2 linked regions of the Struthio camelus genome follow. The protein of the gene in region 1 purifies or fractionates together with the protein of each later gene. This does not show direct contact. Links are inferred from orthologs where the notes say so. Each region holds a gene or a part of one and is shown in the gene's direction. Other genes may lie near its edges.

What was found. Proteins that work in one complex are often made in the same cells at the same time.
Region 2: the proteins of VPS45 (region 1) and RBSN purify together in Homo sapiens (affinity purification with mass spectrometry; 4 studies listed by BioGRID and IntAct, counting the BioPlex papers as one, with this or other methods). This does not show direct contact. The link is inferred for Struthio camelus from reciprocal best matches to the Homo sapiens genes VPS45 and RBSN.

What each region holds. Positions count from the first base shown.
Region 1 is NC_090971.1:2,908,006-2,915,727, reverse strand, and holds the start of VPS45 (vacuolar protein sorting-associated protein 45), read left to right. Parts: upstream 1-4,710; 5' UTR 4,711-4,858; coding exon 4,859-4,951; intron 4,952-5,046; coding exon 5,047-5,181; intron 5,182-5,427; coding exon 5,428-5,488; intron 5,489-6,734; coding exon 6,735-6,814; intron 6,815-7,343; coding exon 7,344-7,412; intron 7,413-7,722. UniProt on the Homo sapiens protein: May play a role in vesicle-mediated protein trafficking from the Golgi stack through the trans-Golgi network.
Region 2 is NC_090955.1:453,529-461,442, reverse strand, and holds the start of RBSN (rabenosyn-5), read left to right. Parts: upstream 1-4,904; 5' UTR 4,905-5,003; coding exon 5,004-5,166; exon of another isoform or gene 5,167-5,283; intron 5,284-6,846; exon of another isoform or gene 6,847-7,032; intron 7,033-7,899; coding exon 7,900-7,914. UniProt on the Homo sapiens protein: Rab4/Rab5 effector protein acting in early endocytic membrane fusion and membrane trafficking of recycling endosomes. Required for endosome fusion either homotypically or with clathrin coated vesicles.

The sequences.
Region 1 (7,722 bases):
CCTCCTAGAAATGCACCCAAAATGTCCGTTTTATTAACTGGCAAAGAATCACCTTATCACCTCTGAAAAGCTTGGTTTTTCTCTTAATAATTCACCCAACCTGTTCAGTTAAAAAACAGTTCTGTAAAGTGATGACTTAACGCATTTTCTCATGTTATTATTCTGAGAGGCGTTGGTAAAGCAAACGTTTCCCATTGCTCACCTCACATGTTTGGTCTGGTCCCTCGGTGTTCTCTTATCTGATAATTTAAAAATAGAAGTACAATCATTTTAACATTTCAAGTTCCCTGCAGACTGTATGCTTGACCTCCTAGTTTTAGCTTTGAATTCAAAATATTTTTGCTGTAATCGCTTTTAAACTACAATAATACTGGTCAGACTCCTAATATTATGCAAATGTTTTCATTATAAGTCAGTTAATAGTATGGTGGCTATAACGTAGATAGGAAGTACATCACTGTAGTATGTAACCGAGCAAATACATAACAGTTTTATATAGAAGGGAGAACATGCTTTATAATTATATTCAGCTGTTCTTTCAGTTGCTAAAAATAACATACCTGGGCCATTCAGAAGCTCCGACTCTTCATACTAAACAAGAGATACAGTTCATTTTATAAGCAATCATAAAAAGCTAGGTATTTTTTATGAGGCTTAGAAAGCCCACTTTGGAATTTACATAGAAGTCTTGCACTTCTTATATGCATCACTAGCAAGTGTCTCTCTAATGCAGGTGGACGAGATAAGGCACCAGTTTATAATTTGTTTTCCTTTGCTCCATTTTGGGATACAGATTTTTTTTTAACTGTTTCTGACGCTTGTCCAATCTCTACAAACAAATGGCACGAACTCCAATCATTTTTACAATTAATGTCTCTAGGGCTTCCTTCCTTTGCCCTGACTATTTGTCATGTCACTGCAGCATTCAACAAAACTGTATCTTCAAGAGGACATTTAATCTCATTAAAACCCTCTCCAAATTGTTTATACTACTGATATATTTACCCAGAAATTGGTGACATTTAAGTAGTTGGATATCTCGCCAGAAAGTCTCTCGATCTCACTTTGAAAACAAAGCAAAATGCAAATAAATGTGTTACTTGTCAGAATGATTCTGAAGTACAAAGCTGATAAAGACATCAATTTGTCACAGAACTTTAGCCACCAGAAATTGGACAGATTTATTAATCAAGGGTGAAATTCGCTCTGCCCTTCTAAACCACAAAGCCACATTAGTTTAGCTCAGCTGTATATCATTTTAACTCAATGTAAGATAATTCTCATCCTTACCTTTTATACTCTTCTTTCCTTAATGCCCAATCTAGGAAGAAAAAGGAATGATGCATTATTTTTGCTACCCAAACTAAAAGATGAAGCTCCGTCTAGCAAATTCATAGTAAACGTCACTATTATTTTCCAACCAGATGGGTTGGAGAGATGGGGACAAATTATTCCACTGATATCTTAATAGACTTTTCTTTCATTTCAGTGTGTTTGGCTATGAATGATATATGTGCCGGACTCTGCAAAATGTCATACACTGATTTCAGTGGTGGTTATTGCAAAACTCGGGCCTAAGGCAGATATCCGTTCCACACAGAGTTCTACACAAATTCCCATTGGCTTAAATGGAAGCTGCAGATATTCAACACTTCTGCAAATAAGAATGATTACTAGGTAAGAATTTAAGTAGCCTAAGTTACATTTAGATCACATCTAGCTCATTTTATTAGCAGCTAGTTTTATAAGTATACACAATTCCTTTTTTTCATTATTTTCCTTCCATGTTGCGGTATTAAAAGATTGTTAGTAACAGATGTTTGCTCTTCAATTCAGTTGCTAATTTAGCAGATATCAACGACAGAGAATTTCTCATTGGGAAATGCTTACGTGCATTTCAGATAATATACCTTTTGTTTTATATCGCAGTCTTGAGTTCTGAGGAAGAGAAAACAGAATGAAACAGCATTGGGCACAAATACAGAAACATTAACAGTGAAGTTTCTGTGTACTAGAGAAATCAAAAGTGTTAAATTGATGTGTGTGAATATTCCCAGGGCAACTGCAAAAAAAAAGTCATACAACAAACTGCCTCCAAATTTAAATAAAAATGTAAAACGTGTACCGCATTTTTTAGCTTCCTATTTTCTGTCCTCAAAGCATCAATTTCTTGGACCTAGTATAGAAAAAAAAAACATAGTATTTTGAACATTAAGATCAGTATCAACTCCGTACATCCTTAACATCAGCTTTCTTTAGGGCTGATTAAGCACGTCTGTCTGATTTAAAAATACCTACAACTTTGTCCTTTAGTCTTTAGGTTGCATGACGTTCTGAATAACAGTAAGAAATTGATGCCAAACCAATAACATCTCATAAAGTTCATAAACATTGTACTGGCACTGGTTCTATTCCTGCAATGGTTGATGGCTTTCCAGATGCAAGCAAGAGTACAAAAACATCAGGTTATTCCAGGGGTAAGGGTCTTTTCTTTTTCTTGTTTTTTTTTTTAAGTTATAGTGTAAATACTGAAATTTACTACCAGAGAGCAAAAATGACAGCAGCTAGATGTTTGCTTATACATGTTGTATATATTGTGGGGAGTCAGTTTTATCCTTATTAAATTATACTTGTAAACAAACTACAAACAAATCCAAGTGCATTAATTTGCATACTTGGACGAAAGGGAAGGATTTTAAGACTGTGGCCGTCTGCATTATTTTGAAGATACAGTTGGATTTTTTTCTCCTTCTAAGCCAAGCTTATAGGACTAGTGTGTAGACACTTAGGCAAGCAATCTTTTACTGTATTTGATAACAAGCAAAAAGATTAGTTCCACTGTTGTCCTGCATGTTTAGTGTCACTTACAAGCATGAGGTAACTTTGGCAAAATAAGGTCTTGTCTAAACCTTAATGTGGTACTGCTTTAATGCAGTTCTTTACAGCAATTATATGTATTTAAAAGCCAGACTTTTTCAGCTCCCTTCATTGTTGAGACCTACTTTTTCCTCAGCACCTGCCTGAAACTGCTTAGGGTTTTTTTTGCCTACAGTAACTAGAATTTCTAAATTGCCTCCCATTCATTCACTAGAAAGGTATAGTGGCTTGTATGGAGAGAATATATTAGTTGTATTCAGCTTAATATAGCCAGGAAAAGCGTGACACTTCTTAAAAACTTAGTTACACTGCCATAGAAACTGCATGAACAAGCTTCATGTCTCTCATCTCCATATATAAACTTCACTTCTATAGTCTGCATACCAATAACATATTGTGAATGTCTCCAAGAATGCTTTTATAAGTATTACTTACAGACTGACTGCTGTCTAAAAAGGAACAGATTTCATGGACAAGTCTCTTTCTCTGATCTTTATTTTTCCTATAAAATACAAAAATTTTAAGCTATATCCATATTTCCGTAATGTATTTTGACGTATATTAAATGTAAATCAAGCAGAACAAAAGATGAACTATAAGCGTGAAAGAGTTCCTTTGTGTCAGCTTTTATGAAAAGGTACTTACAAGATTTGCAAATAGCTTTCATTTTTCATCAGCACCTGCTCACCATTTTCTGTATAAAACATGCACGTTATATGATTACATTTTTATAAACATAATAGCCCTTTTCCAAAATTGTCACACTCGGGAATAATAATAGCAGCGGAACAAATAGCACAGGGACCCATTGCTTCAAAGGTTAGCAAAATACATATCAGCTCCCGTCAACACGATTTACGCCATGAAGGTCAACCGCTGCGCTCCCCGTCCTGAAGAAGGGGGACGCGAAGGGGGACGCTGCCCCAGGCCCACCGGGCCGGGCCGCGCAGCTCCGATCACGCTGCGTTTCACGGCTCCGGCCTCCTCTCTCCTCCCCTCAGTACCTCTGTGGGTCCATTTTAAAAACACACAGATTGCAAATTGTATTTGCCTTTGGAAGGAGCTTGAAGGAGCTGGCGCGCTGGCACGGGGCGTAAACTTCAGAAGCTGCCTGGAAGCGGAGCAACCGCGCGAAGAGCGAGGGCCGAGCTCTGCCATGCTGCGAGCGCGGGCCCGGCGCCGACGGGCTCGGGCCGCTCTGGGGGACCTACCCGCACCCCCGGCGGCACCAGAGGCGGCGGGCGGCTTCGCTGGCGCCTGGCGCACCCACCTCGCCCCACGCCGAGCTAACGCGGACCAGCAGGAGCTCCTCTGCGCTAGCTCTGGCGGGGCTGGAAGAGGCCGAGGCCTTCGCGGAAGCGGGTCCCGTTTGCGGTTGCTTGGGGGGTTGTGTTAGCGACAAATCATCGGTTGGATACAACTGGCCTGATTACGGTATGCAACATCCAACAGAGATGTTAACACATCTTTGTTTTACCTTCCCCTTTGCGGTAAAGCACGACTCACAGAGGCGACGCTGGGAAGCTGAGCACCCACCTTGCTTTTCGAGCAAAGGCATTTTGGAAAGGGGAGCTGGCACTAGAAGAGAGGTTAGTTTAGTCTCACGTTACTGCCTCCTCCCCAGGACGCCTCAGCCCCCCCGCCGCTGCCAGCCCGGGGAGGGGCCGCGGGCCGCTCCGCAGGCGGCTCCGCTCCCCACACACCTGGGCCCCGGCAGCGGGCGGCGCGCGGCAGCCGTTACCGGGGGGCGGTTGCGGGCGGGGGGGGGGGGGGGGGTGGCTGGTCGAGGCTGCCCTCCGCCCCGGCCGCGGCCCGCGCCGCGCGGCACGCCGGGAGTTGTAGTCCGGCGCCGCCGCGGCTCCTGCTGGCGCTGCCCGGCGGCGCCCGCCGCTCGCGGACTACAAGTCCCAGGGAGGCGGCGGGCGGGGGCCGTGAGGGCGGCGGTGCCGAGCCGAGCCGAACCGGGCCAAGCCGAGCCGAGATGAACGCGGTGCTGGCCGTGAAGCAGTACGTGTCCAAGATGATCGAGGACAGCGGGCCGGGCATGAAGGTCCTCCTGATGGACCGGGAGACGGTGAGCGGCGGCGGGCCGGGCCGGGGCCGGGCAGCGGCCGTCGAGCCGGGCCGGGCCGGGCCGGCTGTAACGCGGCCTCCTGTGCCTCGCTGCAGACCGGCGTGGTGAGCATGGTGTACACGCAGTCCGAGATCCTGCAGAAGGAGGTGTACCTCTTCGAGCGCATCGACTCCTTCAACAGGGAGACCATGAAACACTTGAAAGCGATTTGTTTTCTGCGGCCCACCAAGGTAACGCGCTTCGCAGCTTCTCGCCCCGGTTGCCCGTCCCTGACAGCTCGCGCGTATCCACGGCCTCCATCCCGCAAGCGCTTCCGGGCCGCCCTTTGCAGCTGCGACTAGCGTGGCACTATTTAGCGGGACAGGTAACGGGAAATCGTAGGTCAAAACGCGGGACGGGGACTTGATGAGTCCAATCGCTCCTTTCGTGGCAGGAGCGCTCTGTAAATCCGCTCTGTCTGGTTCTGCTTTTACCAGGAGAACGTGGAGTACCTCATCCAGGAGCTGCGCAGGCCCAAGTACAGCATCTATTTTATTTGTAAGTGCGTTCCATTTTGTCCAATAAGTTAGACTTTCCAGTCAAGGGACCGATTGGATGATCGGTGGAAAATGCTGGTGTGAGACGTTTACTAAAATGTTTTTGAAGTTCATCAGTAGGTTATGTCAGTTCCATTATAATACGCTCAAGCTTGATTTAAGCAACGTGGAAAGTGTGTGATCACCAGTCAAATTCTTTTAGCAAAGGGTATGTATATATAAGATAAAATAATTAAACTGAAGGAACTTCTTTTACAAAGGAACACCATAAGTATGTATTACTCTCATACGGTTGTTTCTGAAAACATGATGTTGAACATGAACATGAAGGAAGGCTAATGCTGGGGGTAAAGTGCCTTTTACTAGAAGGAAAACTGAGATGCACAGGATGAGAGACTGGCCCAGGTCTTTAAGGTAAATGATGTTGGAGTCAGTATTAGAATAGTCTTCACATTCCAGTGTTGAACTAAACCTGCTACCCAGCATCTTTTAACATCCGGCATAACAGGCAGGTGTTTCTCACTTGTCAAGTTCATGCCACAGAATATTATGTAGTTTTGGAAATTAAGCAGAATAGCTAGTTTTGTGTTCAAGTCTGGTCCTCTAGGAAAGGCATCACGCAGTTCTGCAAGATTCTGGGAAGTGAACTTAAGTGGCCTCTAGATGTCATTGTGGGTCTGCAGGAATGCTGTGCAGGAGGAGCAAAGCTGCCTCCTTGGGAGTGAGGGGATACAGGTTTATAAAGGATGGTGGTGACCTAATATAAATAAGCACAACAATGCCTAGAGCTTCAGCAGAGATGTCGGTGTCATTGTGTTAAGCAATTTAGTACCACCTTTTACCCATATAAATCTACCGAGTACAATAGTGCTGTAGATGGTGTTGCCTAACTGGGCGTAGGTTAGGTCAGGGAGAGGGTACGAGAGAGCTGTCCTTGCTGATACTGATGTGTCCTGCTGCATGTGGAATTCATGGTCTCTCTCAGTGGCACATGTTGGTCCTGTGCTGCAGTCATATACTAGATATGAGCACCAGAGGCACCAAGTTGGAGAGAGAATTAGTTGAGAATATCTGTGTAAAGTAACAACCAGATTATAATGCCGGCATAATAATTGCAGGTGTAAAGTCAAATGGTCTCTGCTGCAATGTGCTTCCTGTTCCAGTGGAAAATCCGGTCATACTGTTCTGTGATTTTCTTGTGTTACGTGTTACTCTCAGAGCCTGATTTCACTGTTGTTTTCTTTCAGATTTCAGTAATGTGATCAGTAAGAGTGATGTCAAGTCATTAGCTGAAGCTGATGAACAGGAAGTTGTGGCAGAAGTTCAGGTGAATTTTGAATACCTTAAATAGATCTTCCCATCCAAAAGCACTAGCAAAGCAAATGTACACGCTAACTAATTCAGGTGTGGCTATGAAAGGTCCATGTGGAACAGTATGCAGAAACATTGTGCAACAGTCTAGGAGTAGAAGCAAAGAGGAATGTACGCATGGGATTAAAAAAATAAAAGAAAGAAAACTGTATGTGTCCTCTGCTTCTGCTTGCCCTTCAGTTGCCAGAGCTTCTGCTGGTATAGTTAGCATCTGTGTTTCAGCAAGGCTGCTGCATTTGTCTGTGTTATTGACAAAGAACTACATATGAAAAAAATGGATGGCAGAAATTGGCCGTGGAGTTGTCAGCAGAAGTGTAGGGATTTGCGAGGTTAGGCATGGAGGAAGGAGAAATGATCAGAGTCAACAGGTCTGTGCATTGCTTAGGATTTTAGCATGAATATTGCTGATGTTGGAATGCTTACACTTGTAGGCTGAATAAGGGTTGGCAAGACACTTAACTGTATTTGCTTTCACTTGTTGGCAGGAGTTCTATGGAGATTACATTGCAGTGAATCCACACGTTTTTTCTCTCAACCTCTTGGGCTGCTGCCAGGTATGAAAAAAAGCTAATGCTCCTCCAGGGCCTTGTTTTATGGTTAACAGAGAGGCCACTAGCGACAACAAACTGGGCACCGTGGTGGGTTGCCCAGCAGACAGATTGCTGTTTACAGTCCGTAAGGGGGTAGCTGATCCTTAAAACCTGATCCTGAAAAAGGGAGGGGTATATCGGGGAATCTGGATTGTGGCCTTTGGTGTACCTACTCCTTCAGTCAAACTACAGTCTACCTATAAAGAAACAAGACTTTTATCTAAGAAAGTGTTTGGGGATGGTGTAGCCATATTAGATGCACACTTTCCTTTTA
Region 2 (7,914 bases), on another chromosome or scaffold:
ATTTTTCCAATCTTTGCTTCCACCAAAAGGACGGAATGAATTCAACACAGTTAGTTGTCAGATATTTTAAACTTTTTTCAATGAGTAAGCCATATTTGTGTAAAAACGCTCCATTGCATTCCTTGAGCAGCAGACAGGCCTTATCAAGAACTACCTCTAGTCTACATTTACCTCTCTTGTGCTGGGATCAGACTCTTATTATTTATCATGGCAAATGCCACTGAGGATTTTACAGGAAGATAAAGAATATAGGAGAACCTAAGTGCAATACCCTTCCGGCAGGACTTTGCCATTGCTACAGAGCTGACTGGCTTCCTCCCCTCACTTGTATCCTCACTAAAGTGTCTCGTCTTGGACATCAGACGCAACGACCAAGTTCGCACCAGACAGGGCCCTAAAATTCACTATTAGAGGTATCATAGCATCTCACGAGATATTATACAACTTTGTTAACTGAATGTTTGCAAAGAACTTTGAGGTCCTTGGATGAAAGCAGGTCAGCTAACATCACAAACAGGACCCCTTCACTCTACTCCTGCGGCAGAGCAGGAGGAGTTATATATGAGAAATGGGGCTTTGCAGGCCAGGTGTTCATATTCCAGTGGCAGAGATGGGGCAGTGAACACGCCACTCGAGCAAGCCTTTGAAACACTCTCCTTTTTTGTATTGCTGCTCTTTCAGTTTGATTCACAACGGCAAATCATTACTGATTCAAATTTAGTCCCCAACAGCATCAGTAGCATTTCTGTAATGTTTAATTGGTCCCCAAATACCTTTTAGATTGCTGTTTCGCATCACCATCTCTTTCCATTGCAACTAGCTGGATGAACCCAAGTTCATTTTTGAAGTAGCATAAACTGGATTGCTTTAGACTGAGATGTTTTTGGACCCTGAACATTCTCTGAGTGGGAAAGTGCGTCTCAATGAGCGGCAGGCAGCCAAAGTCTATTCCCATTCACACCAGCACAAGCCTAGGTCATTCCCCTGCACTTCAGGAGGGATACCTAAGCCCAAATTTGCCTTTGGGAACCAGCAATTACCGTTGACGCATCACGACTACATCTGGCATGCTGACTCTGCATCATTTATTACTTCTCTGATTCTCAGTCTAATAGCGTCGTAAATATCCACACCACAGTGAAGTGGTGCAACCACTCACTTGGTTGCACTCAGCGAGCTCCTGAGGAACTGCTAAAGACCATTTCTGTTTAGAAGTGTGCAAATCTATAGCGTTTTTCTTTCAAAGTGCTGAATGAAATTTCTCTGTTCAAGAGTGACTGACACATGGCTTTTTATCCATACTTCAGTAAGATTCATTTGGTGAGATGCTCTGTTGTAGTCTGTTGTCAAAGGCACAACATGCAGAAGAACGTAATTAACTAAAGATCCAGTGAAGTCTTTGATTTTTAGAGTACGTTGCAGCATGTTAGCATGCTTACCACAACTCACTGTAGGCAGTCCTTCTCACTATATGGTTATCGTCCAACAGCAAGCTATTATTTTAAGACTTTAATCATTGTATTTACCATTTTAATAAGCCTTTAAGATTATCCATCTGAAAATTAGCAGTTACGGAAGCTACGGCAAAGCTTTTCTTTTTTAAGAAAAGACCTTGCTGCTCAGGAGCCTCCCTCTCCCTTGCCCGACTCTTACCACTTCGGAATGACAGGACAGGAGGGGCCCGAGCTGCCAGGGTCGGTCATCAGGGCCTCACGGCCAGGCAGAGAGTCCATCCCGAACGCTGGGCAGCCCCAGCGCTGTGAAATCCCCTGCAGACGCCCGCTCCCAGACCCTCGGCGGTTCTCAGACATGCTTGTTGTGCCATCTGGCGGCAGCCGCTTCTCCCCACCTACCCGCTCCTCGCCACCGCCCTTCACCGCCTTGGCAAGCCACGCTTGTGCTGAACAAGGAACAGAGCAGAACGCACCCCCCCGGCAGGAACAAGACAACCCAAGTGCTAGAGAGCCCCCCCTCCACCAAGCCCTGCATCTGCTCTCGCCTTTTGGGGGGCTTATTCCCACTCTCACCCTTCTGAACTCTTTCCCTCCCATCCAAACATAGGTCTCACTGCCCACCTAGATCTCTCCGAGTCTTTCCAGTCCCCCAGAGACACACGTACTGCTGGAGGAGTCCTTCCCCGGCTCAGTGTGTTACAAATCGCTGGCCTGAACAGAGGCCTGGCCAAAAGGAGCAAGATAACAACCAAGGGGCAGCAATTTGGTTCCCCCTGTCTTGCCCAGAACACAAGCATGGCTCAGTGCTAGGAAACAGCCGAGCTCCAGCAAATCCAGAAAGATCACGACACGTCTATTAATTGAAGCCCCAATTCCACATATAGGTCTATCCAATGAGAAACCCCAGAAGCCTTGATGAGATGTGTACGGTAAAAGGCTTTGCCAGCTCAATATTGAGTATACTGAGTTCATCTTGGCAGGCCTCTTCCATGTGTGGTTAAACCCTTCTCACTAAGGTTGGAAGAGGCCAAAAATATATTTTTCTATACAACAACATCAGTAGAAATGTAAGCTGGTTACTTCTGTTTTTCCCCTTTTCATCCATGAAGTACCTTCCTTCTTTACATATACTGCTCCTTTAAACTCCAGTCCCTATAGATGAGAATTTTTCAAGTTTTAAAATAAAAATCATAACACTTAAAAAACACATTCAGATTTTTAAGAACTAGGGGTACTATAGCCCCTTAACTTAAGGAAAAAAGTTAAGTCATACCTTTAAAAAAAAAGCTTAACAGCTTATAATTTGCCTGACTGCACTGCTAGGAGAGTATCTGATCAGAGTAGCTTTTGCAGCATCCTAAAGCCTCTTCTCAGCTTTTAAAATCAGAGGAATTGAGTCTGTGTTTTGCATGCAAAACAGGAAGGTGATTGTAACTTGTTTTCTACGTTATTTCCATAGCCTCCTGATTCTCTCTTCATAATCGAATCAAGACTGCATTGTTTTGAAAAGCAAAGCATAACGGGTCTCAGCAGGAAACTGCAGATTTAAAAATTCAGATAGTTTGGCTATTTATAACATTCAATTACTCCTCTGGTTAAATTAGTTCAGTTTCAAGACTTTAATTTCTCATTATGCTTTTGATGGATTATGGAACTATACAAGCAAAACAGGTCAAATTCACTGGTGACGTGAAAGGTGCTGAAGATGGTCACATAATAGTCAGCCTATAAAGATGAGATTGCAGGAATGAGAGCAGAATTTAGGACAGCTCACAAAACAGTTTGTGGATAAACCACATATCTCAGGTGGGACCGTTCAATAAATATCCTTTAGCTAAGATTTGAAGACCTTGGGGGTTGGGTACCTAGGAGCAATTTGTGCCTTGGAAAATTCCCCAGGATCCCTGCTGAGAACGGAGATGCCCGAACTTCAGGCATGAGACTGTGGGACGTTAGCAACGATGCTCCACCTTGAACGGATGGGACTTAAGCGTAAGGAGCGCTGCCTGAGATATAGGAAAGTCTCTGCCTTCAAAAGCCTGTAATCTTGACAGATGAAGCAGTTGTACGATTGCACCCTTCTTTCCTCTGCGCGCTGGGGAAGGGGGGACAGCACAGAGCACCGCCCGAGCGAGCAGTAACGAGCATCGAAAGGGGATACGAACAAGCTTTCGTCCTTGCGTCCCACAGCCGTCTGTCGGGCGGCATGGGGCCGAAGCAGGCTGTCCTGGGAGTCCCGGCCCCTGCGAGCAGCGCGCAATCCGGCACGGCCGCCCGCGGCCTGCAACAGCTTCTCTCGAAGGGCGCGGCGGGCTAGGAAAAGGAACCGGGCCGTCCACCCACCCGGCCCTCCCCCCACCGGGCCCTCCCTCCACCCGGCCGTCCCCCCACCGGGCCGTCCACCCACCGGGCCCTCCACCCACCCACCGGGCCTCCACCCACCGGGTCCTCCACCCACCCGGCCCTCCCTCCACCGGGCCGTCCACCCTCCGGGCCCTCCCTCCACCGGGCCGTCCACCCACCCACCGGGCCCTCCCCCCACCGGGCCCTCCCGCCACCGGGCCGCTCGCTCCTCCCGGCGGGATCAGCAGTCCCTCTGCCGCCCGGCCCGGGCCTGCGCTCCGGGAAACGCCGCGCCGGCGCCGGGCCGGGCCCCGCTCCCAGCCGGGCCTCCCGCCGCCGCTCCCGGCGGGGACCTCCAGGCAGCCTGCGGCGCAGGGGGGCCGCCAGCCCCAGCCCCAGCCCCAGCCCCAGCCCCAGCCCCAGCCGGCCCCACGGCTGCCCCGCGCCGCGCCGCGCCGCGCCGCCTCCATCGACAGCTCTGCGCTTGGCAGAGCGCGCCTTGCCCGGCCCCGCCCCCTGCCGTCCGCACGAGCCCGCCCGCCCCTGCCCATTGGTAGCTCGGTGCTCGCCGCCGGGATCCCCGGCGGGCTGGGGCGCGGCCGGCCGGGGGCTGCCCCGCCGCCGAAGGCAGAGACGCGCACCCGGCGGCTGCGAGCCGAGCCGAGCCGAGCCAGGCCACAGCCGGCCGGGGGCTCAGCGCGCCCGTGCTGCCAGCGCCCCGGTGCGCCGTAGGCGAGGGGGAGCCGCCAGCGGCCCGCGACCGCGCGAAGCCCCGCCCCGCCCCGCCCCGCGCGAGCTGCCGACTGCGCCTGCGCGCCGCCGCCCCGCCCCGCGCGAGCTGCCGACTGCGCCTGCGCGCCGCCGCCCCGCCCCGCGCGAGCTGCCGACTGCGCCTGCGCGCCGCCGCCCCGCCCCGCGCGAGCTGCCGACTGCGCCTGCGCGCCGCCGCCCCGCCCCGCGCGAGCTGCCGACTGCGCCTGCGCGCCGCCGCCGCCGCCCCGCCGAGAGGCGCCGCGCTGCAGGCCCCGCCGGCCCTGGCCCTGGCCCTGGCCGCTCGGCCCCGGCGGCGCCGCTGGAGGACCGGGGGGCTCCAGCCTTGCGCCGCTGCCGGTTCCCTGCAGGCGGGGCGATGCCCGCGCCGCGCTGCCCGGCCCCGGCCGCGGCCGCAGCTCGGCGGTGAGCCGTGCCCCGCGGACGGCCCTCGCCATGGCCTCCAGCTGCCCGCCGCCTTTCGGCGACCCGGGCGACGTGAGAGAAGGGTTCCTGTGCCCGCTCTGCCTCAAGGACCTTCAGTCCTTCTACCAGCTGCAGTCGCACTACGAGGAGGAGCACTCCGGCGAGGACGGGGATGTCCGAGGGCAGCTCAGAAGTGAGGCCTGGCGGCGCGTTTGGCGCTTTCCTTTTTGTCTGGTAAAATTCCCTGCAGCCGAAGCTGCTGGTGCTGCAGACCCTCAGGATGGCTAGTAGTACTGAAATACTAATGGAAGTGAGTTACGGCGGGGGCAGGGCTCCGTTTCCCCGTGAAAGGACTTACGCTAAGGCGTAGTTAATACGTTATTCTTCACTCGCTACTTTTAGTGGTGTTTTAGAATTTACATACTGAAAGTAGTCACTTAGAAGGCCTGACTCTGCAGGTATCTGATTGCGTGTACTGTGTACATGTTATTGGCTTTGTTTATTTATTTTTTAACCTGAGCACTCTCAAATTCATGCTGTAACCCAGATAAATTCTTCAGCTAACACTTGGGATTTCACAGAACATAGGTAATCTCCGGTCTTGCCAGGTACCAACTCATTAATCCCCTATTTCTGACAGTGAGGCGAAGTGTAAAGTTAAGGACGGTTGGTGGTAGATAAACATAGACAAGAACATGGCTGGAGGTGCTGGCTGAGGGAGGGCAGTAGATAGATGCTGAGAGTATCCCAGAGTTGCGCTCCAGATCACCAACTTTCACTGGTGTCTGGAAAATCCCTTTGGATTCTTTTTCAACTAAAATACTGCTTCCTTGGTTTCTCTTTTGTCTACACTGTGTCATTTTTACATGGAGAGAGAAATGTGCAGAGCAGTGGGTATTTTCTGTCTTCCTTGCAAAAATCTTTTCATTGTTACTTTATTATAATAGAGATAGCACCCTGGCAGTTTTTAATTTTTACCTTCTTTTTTAATGAGATTGGTGGCTATTGTTTCAAAAGTCTCTCTTGTAAGTGAAGTTCCTGTTTTTAATAACCTATCTTAAGAGTAGTACGATTGAATGTTTTATTTAAAAAATATATGTACAACATATATTTTATAAAAAGTTGCTTTCCATCAGTCTGGCTGCTACTTGGCTTTTAGCACTGTGCTCTTCTTGGACAGTGAAGGCAGACTGGTCAGTACTGCATCACGTTCTCATCATGGGCACAGTGCTGTAATAGCTGAATCGCAGGCGCTTCAGTGGAGTGTTTAAACCAGAACAGCAATAGGGTTTGCATTGCACTAAGAGGAAAGAAAACAACAACAACTTAGGCTTGGTAAGATTTCCCAAATGCTTTCTTTTATTTAATGCAGAACACCTGCATTTTGATTTTGTTCTCTCTGTAGTATTCTTTTAAAGTAGTGTATTGCGCCTTCTCAGGCACAGGTCTTTCATCTGTGTGTTGATATCAAGAATGTTGTTTTTATTTGCTTACTTTCTGTCCTAGCTCTACCCAGTGAAGTCCCTCCCAGACAGAAGGCCAACAAAACTATCTTTTCCCTTAAACAAGGGACTAGAGTTCAAACCGTATATCACGAGTAGTTATGTGATTTTGTGCCGAATTCAGAGTATCCTAACTGTGGAGCTATAAGGTGACTTCTAGTCATTTCTAGTACTTTGAGTGAGTCATACAGAGGTACTTGTGTTTGATTTTGTTACGAAAGACATTATGAAGTCTGCTTGAAAACCTTTTGTGTCTGTGGCAAAACCATGAGGCATCGCGAATTCTTTTTGTGTATGTCTCACTTACTATATTTCCTGTTTATATGGTGTAAACCTCACCTAAGAAACTGCAGTGTTCAGCTAGCATTTGCCATGTTGCCTTGGGAGTATTTTGGGGAAAGGTGGGAGGAGAAATCCTGTTTCTGCGATGATGTTACAATGCTAGCAAAGCCTTTGCCAGCCTGACGGGGACACAGCTTTGTTGACAAGAGTGTTTCATTTCAGTGAGTGTCGTTTTGTGAGGAAGCATAACTTCAGCAGCTGAAAAACTTCAGTTAGTAAGTATGATGCCTGCACGAAGGGGTGCTGCTGGCACAGCTGTAGTGACTGAAACTCCCGAACAGAGGCTCTGGTGCAGTTGAGGTGGAAGTTCTAGTGTTTTGGATACTACATAAGGAAAGTAGAAACCTGAAGGGACTTGCTAACTCATGGTTCCCAGCACCGTGTCAGAAACCTTGAAGTATAAAAGACTTAATTCTAGGAGAAATTGAATGTCTTCTGCAAGAAAATTAGCACCCTTCAAATTCTGCTAGCTTCCAAAGAGGAACATAGCTGCAAGGGGGATAAAAGCTCTCAAGTTTCAAATTCCTAGTCCTCCTTTTGGCCCAGTAGACTGTCCTCCTCTCACTAGCGTTACTATGAGGTAACGGAATGGGCCGCATAGTACTTGGGAAACTATCTAGATATAGTTTGCAGTTAGTACAAAAATGGAGAAAAGAAGGTTCTGAGCATCCTTGAATCCTCAGAAAATCATTCGGAATGAAGAGCTGTTATATGTATGGTGGCCCAGCATGTTATGGAGTGGGTCTCATAAGTTAATGCTGCTTTAGTCAACAGCTTACTGTTTTGCAGTTAAGTCTCAGAATGGTGCGTCTAAAACTACTGCTTTGTCATTAGGAGCTTAGTGCTACTTTATAACAGACAACAAACACCGTTTCATATTGGCTGTGGTTCTCTGGACCGTGCTCTGGTTCCAAACAGGCTAGGTTATATTGGCGTAAAAATCAAAAATATTAATAATAAACTTGTCATCAAGGAAAAAGACTTGTGCTCAAAGATCAGAGGAGTATTCTATACTGGCTTCAAATGACAAATATTCAGTGACTAACTGTCGGGTGCTTGACATGCGGGTCTGTCTTTTCCAGATCTAGTCCAGAAGG